Linked DNA regions of Drosophila melanogaster. The protein of the gene in region 2 purifies or fractionates together with the protein of the main gene of each other region. This does not show direct contact. Each region holds a gene or a part of one and is shown on either strand. Other genes may lie near its edges.

Evidence for each region.
Region 1: the proteins of Hsp23 (region 2) and DEF8 purify together in Drosophila melanogaster (affinity purification with mass spectrometry, with the first as the bait; one large-scale study listed by BioGRID). This does not show direct contact.
Region 3: the proteins of Hsp23 (region 2) and Nt5b purify together in Drosophila melanogaster (affinity purification with mass spectrometry, with the first as the bait; one large-scale study listed by BioGRID). This does not show direct contact.

What each region holds. Positions count from the first base shown.
Region 1 is NT_037436.4:12,129,926-12,134,815, reverse strand, and holds DEF8 (differentially expressed in FDCP 8 homolog), read right to left. Parts: upstream 2,671-4,890; 5' UTR 2,594-2,670; coding exon 1,840-2,593; exon of another isoform or gene 1,788-1,839; coding exon 1,063-1,787; 3' UTR 982-1,062; downstream 1-981. Other genes in the region: CG5645 (uncharacterized protein), read left to right, coding at 1-91, 157-940; Lsp2 (larval serum protein 2), read right to left, coding at 3,301-4,890.
Region 2 is NT_037436.4:9,379,950-9,383,628, reverse strand, and holds Hsp23 (heat shock protein 23), read right to left. Parts: upstream 1,748-3,679; 5' UTR 1,632-1,747; coding exon 1,071-1,631; 3' UTR 864-1,070; downstream 1-863.
Region 3 is NC_004354.4:18,406,664-18,412,253, reverse strand, and holds the start of Nt5b (5' nucleotidase B), read left to right. Parts: upstream 1-2,109; 5' UTR 2,110-2,370; intron 2,371-3,075; 5' UTR 3,076-3,204; intron 3,205-3,311; 5' UTR 3,312-3,358; coding exon 3,359-3,736; intron 3,737-4,368; coding exon 4,369-4,457; intron 4,458-5,590.

The DNA.
Region 1 (4,890 bases), 2.7 Mb from region 2:
ACGTAGAGAAAAAGGAGCAGCGTCTCTACAAGATGAAAGCCAAGAATGAAGACCTTAAGCGAAAGATATTTAAGAGTCTTTATGGAGAAGGGTGAGTAACTTACAATAAAATTTCGATTTCGAACGGGTGTGTATTAAAACTTGACTCTCATGCAGTTCTGACGATGAGGAGCAGCCAGCAGAAGAGAAACCAGAAGTGACACCAGCTGAAGCGACAGCTCCAGCCGAAAATGGTCAAGTCTCGACAGAAGGTTTGTCCAAATCAAAGAGGAAACGCCTGAAACGTAAGGCTGCCGCAGCAGCAGCCAGTGCTCCTAAGGTTCTAAAAGAAGAAAGTGACTCCAAGGATCCAAAGGAAGCGGATGGATCTACTGAAGATGTCCAGGCAGAAAGTTCTAAGAAAAAAGTCGATACTCCCTCTAAAAAGGGCAAAGATGACGCAAATCAGGAAACTAAAAACAGTCCACAAAGCACGGAGAAAACGAAAAACAATAATGCCTTAAAAAATAACAAAAAAGAGCCTAAAAACGTGCAAAATGGATTCCAAAAACCCCAAAATCAAGCAAATAAAAGTGCAAAGACAAAGTCGAACCAACCATTTAAAACTACGGAAAGTGCGCCTGCAAAAGCAGAAAAATCAAATGGTAATAATCCTTTCAATAAGCCACAATCGAAATCCCAACAAAGGCAGGAACTGCCACCAATTCATAAAAATCAAGGTGGAAACAAAAAGGGACCGAGAAACGCTAACGGCACCAATCCCTTTAAGAAATCAAACCAAAAGCCAAGTGCACCCTTCCCAGCTAAGAAAACGAACAACTTTAAGGCGAAAAACAAGCAAAATAACAATAGTGGAATAACCGACGATCGATTAAAGGCATATGGCATAAATCCCAGAAAATTCCACAAGCGGGAAAAATATGGAAAAAAGGATAACTAAAGAGTTATGATAAATCTAAGAATAAAAGTTCATATATAGTTATACATTTTATAGTTACATTTTATGTACATATGATAACATATTAAAAACCAACACAGCACAATGAACTCTGATTTGATCAGTTATTCTGCGGCAGTCACGTCATCATCGGTGGCCACTCCATCATCATCATCATCATCGTCCTCGGTGCTCTTCATGCGATCCAATTGAAGACGCCGCTCTTGGATGCGAATGCATTTGGGGCAAATCATATTTTTGCGCGTGAGGCAAACTCGGTGGAAGATGGAATTGCACTGATCACACTTGATGCAGCCATCGTCGAAGGGAAAGATCACCTCGTTGTTGCTACAAATCTCGCAAATGTACGCTTGGGCAAGGCACATGGGGCAGGATCGTATGTGATCATTGAATGCCTTGAAAACTCCTTGCAGAAATTCGCTCAGCGCTCCAGATTCCACCTGGCTGAGATCACTTAGGGAATAGAACTCATTTGACTGGGCCAGATGTCGCCGGACACCCAGTTGCTGATCCACCAGCTTCAACTCGCTGGCAATCTTGCAGGCAGCCAGATAGTGGCGCATATGCACCAGATTTTGGCGAAGTTTCTTTACCGCACACAATTTTTCTACGAACACAAACAGCTTGGGATTGTCCTCCTCCAAGCGAATGAGCGGTTTATTTAGGAACAACCTAATCTCTTGGAGCGCCGTGCGCGACACTCTGCGTGGCGAAAAGTCCCAATTGTGGATAATGCGGGCTGGTATAAAGTTACTGTCGTTCCAGTTGCAGCGAGGGCAGTAGTACAATCCACTATAGTCGCATAGACGCGGCTCAATCCAGGTATTTTCTACGAGGAAGGAGTCTAATTATTCGGAACCAAAAGAGTAGCCTTAACTTACTTATATTTAGCATCGTCCCGCACTCGGCGCACTTGTATCCCTGGGAGGCGAGTCCGATTTCTGGACATATCTCCGAAATGGGATGCTGCCGCTCTGAAACCAGGACATGGGCACAAACCCTCTTCACGCCATCGATGCACTTCTGATGGACCAGGAATCCGCAATCGCTGCACACGTACGAGTTCTGCACCACACTCCAAATAATGGTGGTGCAGTGGTCACAGTAGTTCCTCTTGGCGGCTGCCTGCAGACGATTCCGTTTGCCATGATGCGGGTGATGGGGCACAAAATGATGACCCACCACAGCACGTATGGCATTCATAACTACCATGTCCGACGATAGGGAATGCTGCTCCTGGGCCTCCTCCAGCTCCTGCAGTGAGTATCGCAAATCTACCAGGTGCCGCACCAACCAGCGACGCTCCTCGCTGAGTTCCTCGCTCAGCAGGACGAGATCTCTGCAATGGGCGATGGCCGCCTGCAAATCCTGGATATTGGCATCGCTGGTGAAGATTAGGCGCCATTGCTCGCGCACCAAGGACGCGGGAATGGGCAACGCCCTGTACTCCGCACCTTGTGGACCACTTTCCTCGGAGCCTCCGGCCTCGGATCCAGATCCAGTGGAGCCAGAGCCTCCAAGGCCAACTGTTGATCCCAGCGTGGATGAGGCGTGTAACAGGTTGCTGGCGCTCTCGTTAATCAACTGCGCCACCGTGCCCGGAATGCTCGTGAGACTGTCCTTCCAGGAGCTCATTTTTGGGGAAGAACAACAAAACAAGTCTTTGTGTGTTTTTTTAGCGACCAGGGATGCGAGCAATTGGTGCAGATGAGCGAACTAGTTATCGTTCACGGGGCAAACTGCAGGTGGTTGTACGCATCCCTGGAATGCACCTTAATACAGTGAAAGAAAAAATGTGAGGGTTAATTATTTATAAATATTTTGAATTTAACTTTTAATATTTTTAAAATATGATACAATTTGAAACCATATTCTGAAATATGTCAAGCGTGGTTTGCATAAAGCAAATATTTTTGTTACCATATTTTACCATTTAATATTAAATTGTAATTTAAGAAATCTAACAATCTATTGTGTTTATTCCAGATAAAAATGCCTATTTTTAACTTGAAAATTCGTCTGCTAAAAACTGTAGGCTTTAAAACTAGTATCAATAAGCCCTTTATTCTATTGTTCCTTCTATTTACATATATTCTGTAAGTAGAGGAAAATAACTAGAAAACCAAAAATATATTTTGAAAAATTGAAAAGAGAGTGACTTGTGTTGAATACGTTTATTGTTCGATGGTCACAAGGTGGACTGACAAGCTGGGTAAAAATTGAGTTAAATTACGATCTCTATGGGGTAAGTGGATGCAGACAAAGATATAACAAGGAAAACATATGTAATCTATCCAATATCGTTGGTTCGTTTTGGGGTTCGTATTCGTTGGGTCCAGGATCTAGACCACATTGGTGTGCTCGTCGCGATGGAAGATCTTCACGTCGACGAACTTGAAGTTGTGGACATCGAAGTAGTAGTCATGCTTCACCGGCCTGTTGAAGGGGAAACCGAAGGGCAGGGCGTCCACGTAGCGGGAACCGTGTCCCACGCCGCAGCTGACCACCGGATCGTAGCCAGTGAACTGGGCAACCTCGGGCTGGTGGTACGGGTAGACCATGTAGAAGAACTGGAACACCTGGCCGCCCTTCTTGCCGCGCGGCAGCATCATTCGGTTGGGCACGCCGCAATGGGCCTCCGACTGATCCAGCTTGAACTTGTAGTCACTGTTGGTGGCGTCCATCAGCTTCTGGTAGAGCTCCAGGTAGGTGGTGCGATCGTTCACCCAGAAGGAGAAGTCACCGCTGGCGCGCTTGATGTGGTTAACGCCCGCCTCCAGATGCACCTTGAAGTGCTCCAGCTCGAAGAAGTTCTGGTAGTTGTGCTCCAGTGGGATCTCGTGTCCGTGCTCATCGTACTTGGGTCCAATGAAGACCTTCACAACGGCATCCTGAGCCTTGTCCGAGGTCACGTCCAGGGTGAACTCGAAGGGCTTGTGGTTGAGACGCTGCTGGCGGGCCTTGATCACATAGCTGGATCCCTTGTAGTGGGAGTTCCTGCCGAAGGTGTACAACGGATCGGCGGATCCCTCAACGGCGGGCTCCACATTGACGGCATTGCTGATGTCCGAGTCGAAGTGCTCGAAGTAGGTGGTCAGACTTTCGGGCATGTGGACGGCATCGATGTGGACACCCTCGAAGGCGTAATCCTTCTTGTGGTACTCCGGATAGGTCTCCATCAGATGCCAGTAGTGGCTGACAATGGTCTTGTATACCTCGTAGAAGATCGGATCGCGCATAGAGGTGTCGTAGTGCATGAAAAGGCCAGGGAAGCTCTCGTCACCATGGCCATAATGGTGGCCCTCGTTCACAATGAAGCGGTACAGCTTGTCAAGACTGCCGTAGAACTTCTTGTCCACGCTGTCCGCATTGCCCTGGATGATGTTGCCCAGCACATTGATGGTCTCCACATCGAACTTCTCGTTCTTGTGGATCCAGTCCATGACACGCTGCGTGTACATCTCCACATGCTCGATGTGCTCGTAGTTGTGCTCGTGGTAGAAGCTGTGGTGATTCTCCCGGTGCCATTGGGGTACGCCGTAGTAGGTGCGCAGGTTACTGGCATAGCCGGATTCGGTTGGCACATACATGTTGAAAGCGGGCACCTCGCCGAGATCGTGGGACAGACGCTCCAGGTACCAACGGGCCAGCAATTGCCAGTGGACATACAGGTAGAGCTCACCGCGACGATCCTTGTTAAGGACATGCTCCTCGCCGCCCTTCGTCCAGAACGGATAGTCCAGATTGAAGTAGTAGTAGAAGGCATTGAAGCCAACATCCTCCAGGTAGTAGGCCAAATCGTGATCGTAGTTCAGGGAACCGTGCACGTTCGAATAGTTCGTACGGATCACCACGTTGTAGATGTTGTCCATCTGCTTGACATGATGGAAGCCGTGCATTTTGTAGTGCTCAGCCCATTCCAGTGCCTGGCT
Region 2 (3,679 bases):
TATGCAGATATATGTATTTATTTAAAGCATTTTCTTCTCTTATCGCTCTTTTAAAAGCTGTCTTTTCAGAGTGCAACAGAGCTTGTATTTTCATTGGACAAGTGCATTGAACCCTTGTCTCGCTTCGTTCTGCTCCTCATGTTTGCCGTTCTTTTGTTTGTTGCAAACATTTTTGCAGTTGCTTTCGCCACTGCTTCGCGAAGTGGGAAACGGGGCAATTGAAAATTTTGCAAATCATTGCCAGTCTGTTGCAAGTGTTTCGATTATTATATGTACATATGCATACATTTCTATATATATGTATATGTGTATATAGAATCTTTTTATTCTTGGTTCACCAGTTAACCAAAATACATAATTATTTTCAAAACTACATGCATACATACATATGTATGTGTATGTGTGCATGCACGTAATTATTTGCGGTAACATACAAAAATGAAGTTCAATTTATACATGTACATAGGTACGTGCTATAAGGACGTACATAACGTACATCTCTTGTAGAGATGACAGAAATTCATTAAAAAGAAGAGAGTGAAAAGGGATGTATATTCTTATGTACGTATGTATGTACATGATGTACTTATGCATGCTTTACATAAGGATTTAACCTTGACTGAAGTTCCTTACATTCATAGCTTCAAGTCTCTTTACCGAAGTAATGTAAAAAGTCAGTTATGTACACAAACAACAATTAAATAAAAATGCCATTTTACGTGACACAACAATGCAATATACAATGCAGAAAGTAAATTCTAGAAACCGGGATCACAGGAAAAAGGGCCAAGCTAGCCAAACAATTCCCAAAGTAATAGTAATAGTAACCCATAACCAACCAGAAAAACAGACCAAACACAATTATAAGTAAGTGTACTTGTTATTTATTTTTATGGGTAATATTAATTTCGCCAATTTAGTAATACATATTCCAAACTAAGATTAAAGCAGGACACCCTTAATGGCTATTGTGTATGAGTGAAGTGTCCTTGGATAACTACAGCTTATAAAACAGATGTATGACTTTGATAATGGTTAAATAATGCAGGGCATCTCTCGGAACGAGTCCTCTACTTATCGTTGCCATTGTCCTGCTCCACCGCCTCCTTGGGATTCTCCTTCACATTGAGATGGGCGGGTCCCACCTGCTGGATCTGAACGATGCGCTCGTTGCCCTTATCCTCGATTGCCGGTGGCTTGGGCACCTTGATGGTCAGGACACCATCGGAGGACAAGGTGGAGGCCACCTTATCAGCCTCATAACCGGGTGGCAGAGCATAGCGGCGGACAAAGTGACGAGTGATGAAGCCATGGTCATCTTCGCGCTCCTCATGGTTGCCCTCCACCAGGACGGAGTTGTCCTGCACTTTGACCACCAGTTCGCTGGGCTTGAAGTGCGACACATCCATGCAGACCTGGAAGCCATCCTTTCCGATTTTCGACACGGCTCCCGACGATCCCGACGAGGCGCCCACCTGTTTCTCCAGCTGGCGCAGCTGCTGCTCCATCGGTCCAACCAGGGCCAAGTAGGGATTCCTCTGGCGCTGGCAGTAGTAGGGCTCATAGAAGGGCACCATCGACATTCGGCCCAAATCGTCGGCAAGGCTCAACAACAATGGAATATTTGCCATTTTTGTTTTTTAATTGCTTCAAGATGATTCTCCTTCAAAGAATAAACTTCTTTTGTTGATAGGTTACTTTCGCTTTAGCTGTTATCGCTTTGGCTTTTTGAATTCAACTGACGCCGGTTGCACGAAAGTGCCGGTTATTTATACAACCGCTCGCTATCGTAGTGTGCGTGCGCCCGTCGGCGCTGTGTGTGTGCGCGTCGTGTCTGTGTGCTAGGGGGCACAAACATCGACATCGAGAAGGGACACGAAACTTCTCGGGCTGAAAATATCGCAGAGTTCTCGAATTTGCCGCAATTACGCATTATCTGCCATTGAAAGTGAGAGTATCGCTATGGAAAATGAGCAATCTCCTAGGGGAGTGGGAATGAAAAGGCCTGGTGGAGTGATAAGTCGCATCAGCACCGGCAAATATTATGTGTATGTATAGATGTACGTATGTAAGCACGTATGTATGTACATACATAGCAGATAGGAAGGTTGGAGTATATTCCACGAAGGATGGAGTAAATTCGCGAAACTTCGAGACTGCAGAACAGTTCTTCTTTTTATGGCCTGGCATTTAAGCTATTAACTTTAATTAATATCCAAGAATGGGGCTCTGTAGTGGGGAAATCTAATTAAAATACATAAGTGGTTAATGCCGGGTAGGTAATAACCCATGGGATGTAAGCGTATTATTACTCCAATCAGTAAGAAAATGTAAAAATGATACGATTTGGAACATATGTACATTCATACAATAAAGGATTCGAAGGATGTAAAAATTATTTGAATAAAATGTAATGCAACTATTTTGAATTTCAAAGGTCGATAGATGAAAACATAAACCAAAAAACATTAAAAACATTTAATAAATTCTAATAGTCAATATTTGGTTTATTGAAAACGAGGCTGTAACCTTTTATTATATTTGACCAATTTCTTAAGACAAATACATATGTATGTATGTAAGATTTAGCTGCACATTTGCTTGGTACAACTTGATAAATATTCAGCTTATATACACATTGTTTAGAATTCAGAATTACTTCGTAATAACCAAATCAAATGACAATTTGTTTACAATTTGTTGTTACAGTAGCGATTGAATAACCATATAATACATGGGCATTGCTATAGAACTCAATCTCTGGTTGTTATATAATTCGAGTTTTTATTTATGGCCCCATTTTCTTGTCACCACTCCTCCTCCACTGAAGTAGAGTACTCTTGGTGCCCAGGGCTTGGACAATCCAACGCCAACGCAGTGGAAGTTGTCTATTCAAAAAGGTGGCCACATAATGTGCGAGCATGCTCGTCCGGCGGATTTCTTCCCCTTGGTTAGGTAAATGGGAGCAAGTACCCAGTGTGTATGTACATGGGGAATGTATCGTATGTACAAGGGGGCATCTCGTACGCAGCAATCTCTGAAGGTTTTTGCTCTTTTCCGACTGCAGCTGGCAGATACACCATATCAATACAAACATACTATATAATATAATATATGGCCATACAGAATTGTATCCCGCAGCTGAGTTCGGGGCCCCAGTAAATTTTTAGCAAAGTCTCCACTGTCTGGCCCCCGTCTGGATGTTGTTGGTGTTGTTGTTGTTTTTTGCATTTTGGAGCTTTTCAACCGGTTGCCATCGCTTGCACTTGGCTATGTAACCACATACGAATCCAGCAATATCATCATCATCTGTGTGGCAGGGTATGTATGTATGTATGTAGATACAAATGTATATGGAGATACCATATGTATGGGTTGCCCCAGACGCTGTCACTGCGCATGTTTACGCGACGCCGGCTTGCCAATCCTCCAGCTCTGGCAACAGCGGATTTGTAGCTTCCAGGCGGCCCTGCCAGCCAGCCAGCCAGCCAGCTGTTGTTGTAGTTGTTTATCGCCGGCGACTCGAATCCGCATCGGCAACCGGCACGAGACTCAGACTCTCAGCTGTTCGCTCAATGCCGGCAGTGGGAATTCAGCTGCAACACGACCACTTTACATATACCCCGTCTATATGGATATTTGTATATATGAGTACATATATGTATATCGCCGGTACAAG
Region 3 (5,590 bases), on a different chromosome or scaffold from region 2:
ACACCCACTAGTACTAAATATATATTGGCTTATATAGTTTGCAATTGCTCGCAAACTATGCATTTCCCAAGTCAGTTCAAATGAAATGTGTTGATATAGATATAATACATTAATCCGCTGATCTTTTTAGGGGCATTTCCGATTCACTTAATTTCGCCCGGCGACTGGAGAAGGCCTAAAAAGGAAAAACTAACTGGCCAGCAGCAAACTTGGCAACTTGGACTTGGCAAGAGGGCCAGTGCTTGGCTCAGCTATAAAGTGGTTGCCGATGGAGGTGGTGGCGCTGCTGGGGGGAGCTGGTGGAGACGGTGGAGCTGCTGCTGCAGTGCGTCGCTTCCAGGCCACTTCACTTTATTTACCGTCACGCTCAGCGCGCTGCGGCGGCGGCATTAAGTGCGAAAACAAAGCCAACGCCATCGAACCGCTCCCGGCACCTCCTTATTTTTATGGCCGGTTTATTGAAAGGCCGCCAGGCCGCCGGGCAACGTGCAGCGTGCAACTTGCAACGTGCCATGTGCAAGCTACATGGCGAGAAAATGAGTGAAGGATACGACACAGCTGCAAACCTAGATTTCTAATTATCAATCTGATGCAGGTGCGAATCGCTTTCTATAAATTATATACATTAATACCTTAGAGATTATATTAATGTAATGCACTTAATGTTTTAAACTTGTTTTATTTTTAATTAATAGATTTTGTGAAATCTATTAAATTTATAAATTAAGGATGTAAATGATTTACATGAACTTTTTCGGAAGAAAATACATTTTTCAAAAAGTTGCAGGAGATTTTCTAATGCAATGTTCTCAAATTAATAAAATAAATTATAACGAGTATTAGAAATCCGCACGTAGCTAATCGCCTTAAGTTAGATAAATCTAATATAAACTTAGGTCTCTACATGTGAATTTATTTTTTTCCTGTGCACTCGCTGATAAAGAGCGTTGCGTAACCCGCCGATGATAGTAATGATGATGATGGTCAATGGCCATTGGCCAAGTAGGGAATACCACTTCCCACTTGACCAACTGCAGCAGCCGGAGCAGCGGAAATGCACGGCTTCAAAGACGCGGAAATGGCAATGACGGTGGATTGAGGAGGATGGATGGAGTAGGGTGGTGGAGGTGGTGGTAGTGGCATCCACAGCAGGTGTGGTAATCCGTAAAGCACTAAAGGCATTGGAAGCGCACAAATTTATTGGCGCAACTTGAGCGGAAAGGTGAGAACCGGGCGAGAAAAGAAAAACATATTGAAAAACGGATAAATCTGGGCGAAAACTTAGAGGAACAGGGAAGTGTGTTGCAACTAAGATTGAAAGGAGCGAAAGGAGCAGGCTAAGGAAGTTCGCTGTGCTCGGAATCGTCCATTAACATATAACAATTTATTCGAAAAGGGTAATTAAATAAATGCCAAAGGCGGAAAAGTCTGCCCCTAATAGCTCCTAAAGGGGACCATTAAAAAGTAATAGTATAAGCTGCTTATTTCCATGTGACAAATTTGATCAAAGAGACTCTTAAATCACATTTAAATGGTTCACGTATATTATATAAAGTAGTTGAAAAAAAAAAAACACAAAGGGGGGTTGGAAAAATGTATCCTAAATGAACAAAAATGGTGAATGTTAAGTAAATTCTTAAAATTATAATTTATATATAAATAAATTATATATAAATATAATATTATGATGCCTAAAAAATGCTTTTAAAATTTAAACAAAATCAATTGTTAGATCATACAGAGAAATATGTAGCATACATACTTTTATGTATTATTTTCAGTCAACGAACAATTATTATCAAGAAAAAGGAAATAAATGACTTGAGTTAATTAAACTATAGGTCCCTAGCTTATGGCATAGGACAAGAAGATTGTTAATTTATGACAAATAGCTCTTCATATATGGAGACAATTGAAAATATGTTTCACTGCGAAACAAATATTTTGAATTCCACGCATTGCGCGCCAAATGAAAGAGTGCAGCATTGCCAGCATCGAGCAAAATGCCCCATTGTTTACAAACAACTCTCTTTTCTCTTGCTGTTTCTGTTTTGCACTAATTTTCTGAGAGAGAAAATAAGGAAAAAGTAAAACCATCGGAAATTATCGTTATCGTTATCGTAAAACGTCTTCTTCTTCCAGGCCGCCCATTTATTATTGGTTTGATGGAAATCTTGGACAACTTTTGAAAATCGTGGCGCAGTGTGTTTATTATTGGACAACTTTTGAAAACCGTGCGCAGTGTGTTATGAAATCGCGACCGCGTGCGTGAGTCCAAAAATAGCTGGAAAATATTGGAAAATCAAGTGGCTGGAAAGCAAAACCTCGAAACGCAAAAATCCGCAACTTCAAAACTTCTGGCCCAAAGAGGTAACTCCCACTAAGAACTGCCCAATTTTGTTGTTGTTTTTTTTTGAGTCGTGTTGTTGTTGGCGCTGTCCAATGGACACGGGCATACATATTGTGTATTTTTAGAGCCCCCGCCGGCGTTACTTTTGCCCTTTTGCCCATCTGCCGGCCTTTGATAGATCGATATGTGGCACTCGCGGCGGGGGTGTCATGTGATTTTGTTTGCCGGCACCTTGCAGCGCCAACAAAAACGGCCACAACAGCAACAACAACACGGGCCAACAAACTTGTTTTCTGCAATTACGCAGCGAAAAACAAGATAAATTAGCTTAATCAGCGGTTGCCATTGGAAGTGCACGCACCGAGCGAGAAAAATATACGTAGCCTACTTTCGGGCCCACCCACAAATTGCTAGCTTTAGAAACATAAACACTGGGTACGCATAAAAAACTCAACGCGTGCCATTATTAACTTAACTTAACTATTCAGATAAAAATCCAATTATTGCGTGTTAATTGAGGAATATTCAAAAACTTGACACATGTGCATCAGATGAGAGTCCAGACAACATCTTTGTTGCCCGAGATTTAGATAAGGCTGTGCTATTTTCATTCTAAAATAAACTGAATAACAAAGGTTTTTATTTACACTCTAATAATACCCCTTAAATTTGCAAAATACTATAATCTATTCAGCTTTCAGTATAGTACAGATTTTATTATGTAGTGGCACCACCAAAGAGTTATTATTATTATTTAAAAAAAAACACCCAGTAACACTATTTCATATTGATCGGATTAATGTTCATGCAATCAAACTAATCAGTCTTATTCTGAGCAACTTAATAAGTATCAGGTATGTATGTACATATGCATTTGCATCAATATCAATAGAATTAAATCCCAAATCGCTTGATTGCTTTCCCACGCTGACAAACACACACACACCGATGCATTTTTTAGTTTGTTCCCACACACACACACGCACACACATGCTGTTTAAGTTGGCAATGAGAAACTTACGCCGTTTAACAAACACTTTGCAGTACCACCGCCAATTAACAAGCAGATCCGAAACAACAGACACCTTTAGATATCCAAATCACATTGCCCAAGTGGCAATCGTTAACGACTCTCGCCGACTGTCACTAAAATCGGGCGAAATACCCAAACACGGCCAGGGCAGCCAAACCGCCCCTTCAAGGATATACCCCATCCACATTGGTGCCCCAAATTGCCAGCGAAGCAGGAGGAACAAAGGCAACCGTAGGCTAAGTTGCTCCTATGCCAGTTTAGGCAGAATGCAGGCCACGCCCAGCGAAGATGCACAGCCGCAGGATCCGCTCAAGTCCTTCGAGAGGGACTTTTGCGACCTGCCGCCCTACCAAGTAAGTACACTGAGCGAAAGCGGCGGGAGAAAGCACACTCTTACGCTAGAAAACAATATTTTTCTCAATAAATGCACGTTTTTAAGCAAAAAACTTTCAAATGTTAAAATTACAAAATATCCAAAGAGTTTTGTAATATTTTTGTATATATGGTTTAAATTACCATGAACAGACGTTCTTTTTAATTGATGTGGGCATTAAGCATTGTAAAAACAATGTATACGTACATATATAATTTAAACATTATTTTTGTACACCTTTTCTATCTCAGTGTTGAAAAAGCAGGAGGTGAAGATGTAGCTAGACAGCAGCATATCAATCAGTTGCAGCAAAACTCATTAAACTTGTGCCAATTGCGTCAGTCAAAGAGGGTTGGCCAGAGTTGCCACCCCACTTCATTATTCAGCACTCTTTCCTTTGCATTCATATATTATTGTTTTTGTCCTTAGCACTTTGATTGCTTTGCCTGCACTGCCTGCGTTCTCAATTTTCAGCCTCATTCCCACTTCTCTACTTCAATTTTCCTACTTTAAAATTCGCAGCGTGTGTGTGAGTGTGTACGTGTGTGTTTTATGTGGTAGTAAACCGATCAGCCTACTCTCATTAATTTTCCGCTTTTCGACTACTTTCAGTGCGAGATGAGTGATTCTGCGCCCAATACCCCAGGACCCTGTTCGACATCGGCTCTGCCCAAAAAGTATTACCGCTATGCGGCCCACAGGTGAGTTGCCCAAAAAGAGTTGCCAAGTTACCGAAAAGTAGGTCACTTTTAATGGGAGAACCTGGGGAAGCCCAGTCCGAAGGAACAATAACGGTATAGAAATCCAATAAACAAAGCAGTGGAGAGCAAATCCAAAGCTAAGATTACTACACAGACAAAAAACGTTACTTAAGCTGTAAATATTCATTGTTAAAATTTAAAAGAAGCGAATTTCCAAAGGTATAGAAATCTATCGGAATACCACTAAAACTATCTTAGTTATTATAAAGACTTGTCAAAAAGGTTTGATATTATGATGTATATTTCTTAAACCTATTTTGCCCAGTGTAAGCGATGTTTTTACCTAAGAGAGATTTCTCGCATAAACCACGGTCAATGCCAAGTGCGAACGCTTTTCCACTGCCTTATCGTCTTATCTCGCAGCCAAAACAACAACAAGCGCAAAACAGCGACCAGCTAGTTAATCCACACGAATCGGGGACATTCGCTTGACAACCTGACGTTGATAGTGCCGCCCTCATTAGTCCAATTACGAATTCAGGGTATATAGGGCCAGGCTGTCCTGCTGTAAAGCACTAAAAATATCGCAAATTGGATGTGCGCCTTCGAAACGCTGTAAGGCAACCTGGCGTATGGGCAATAAAGTTGGGAACCAACTCACAGATATCAAACATAGCGTAATTCAACTTTTCAATTTAATGTATTTTTAAGCAGAGTTACTTAAAAATGCACATTGTTAGTTTACAAATCTAACAAATCAGAGATAATTCAATTATCTATTTTATATTATAATATGACATTATCTTGTAAGGTATTCACTTGTGAAGGAAACTATCCTTTTAAGCAATTATAGGGTATGCGGGTATTCGTGTTGTTATTCTACTTACGCCAGACGTCTCTTTTGCCATTTTTGTTTTTGCTGATTACAATATTTTGTGACGCTGTCCATTATCGCCCGGTTTTAGTGGCTTTTCGTCGGCGGGGGGGAGGAGGGGGTTGGCCCAACCAAAGGGGTGGTGGTGGGCGCCGCGGACGGGGCTGTCTGAATTGCTTGTTAGGCGTGAATGCAAGTAGATGCAAGTGAGTGGGCACTCGGAGCCACTCGAGTGTCAGCTGCAACTGCACTGTGCGTT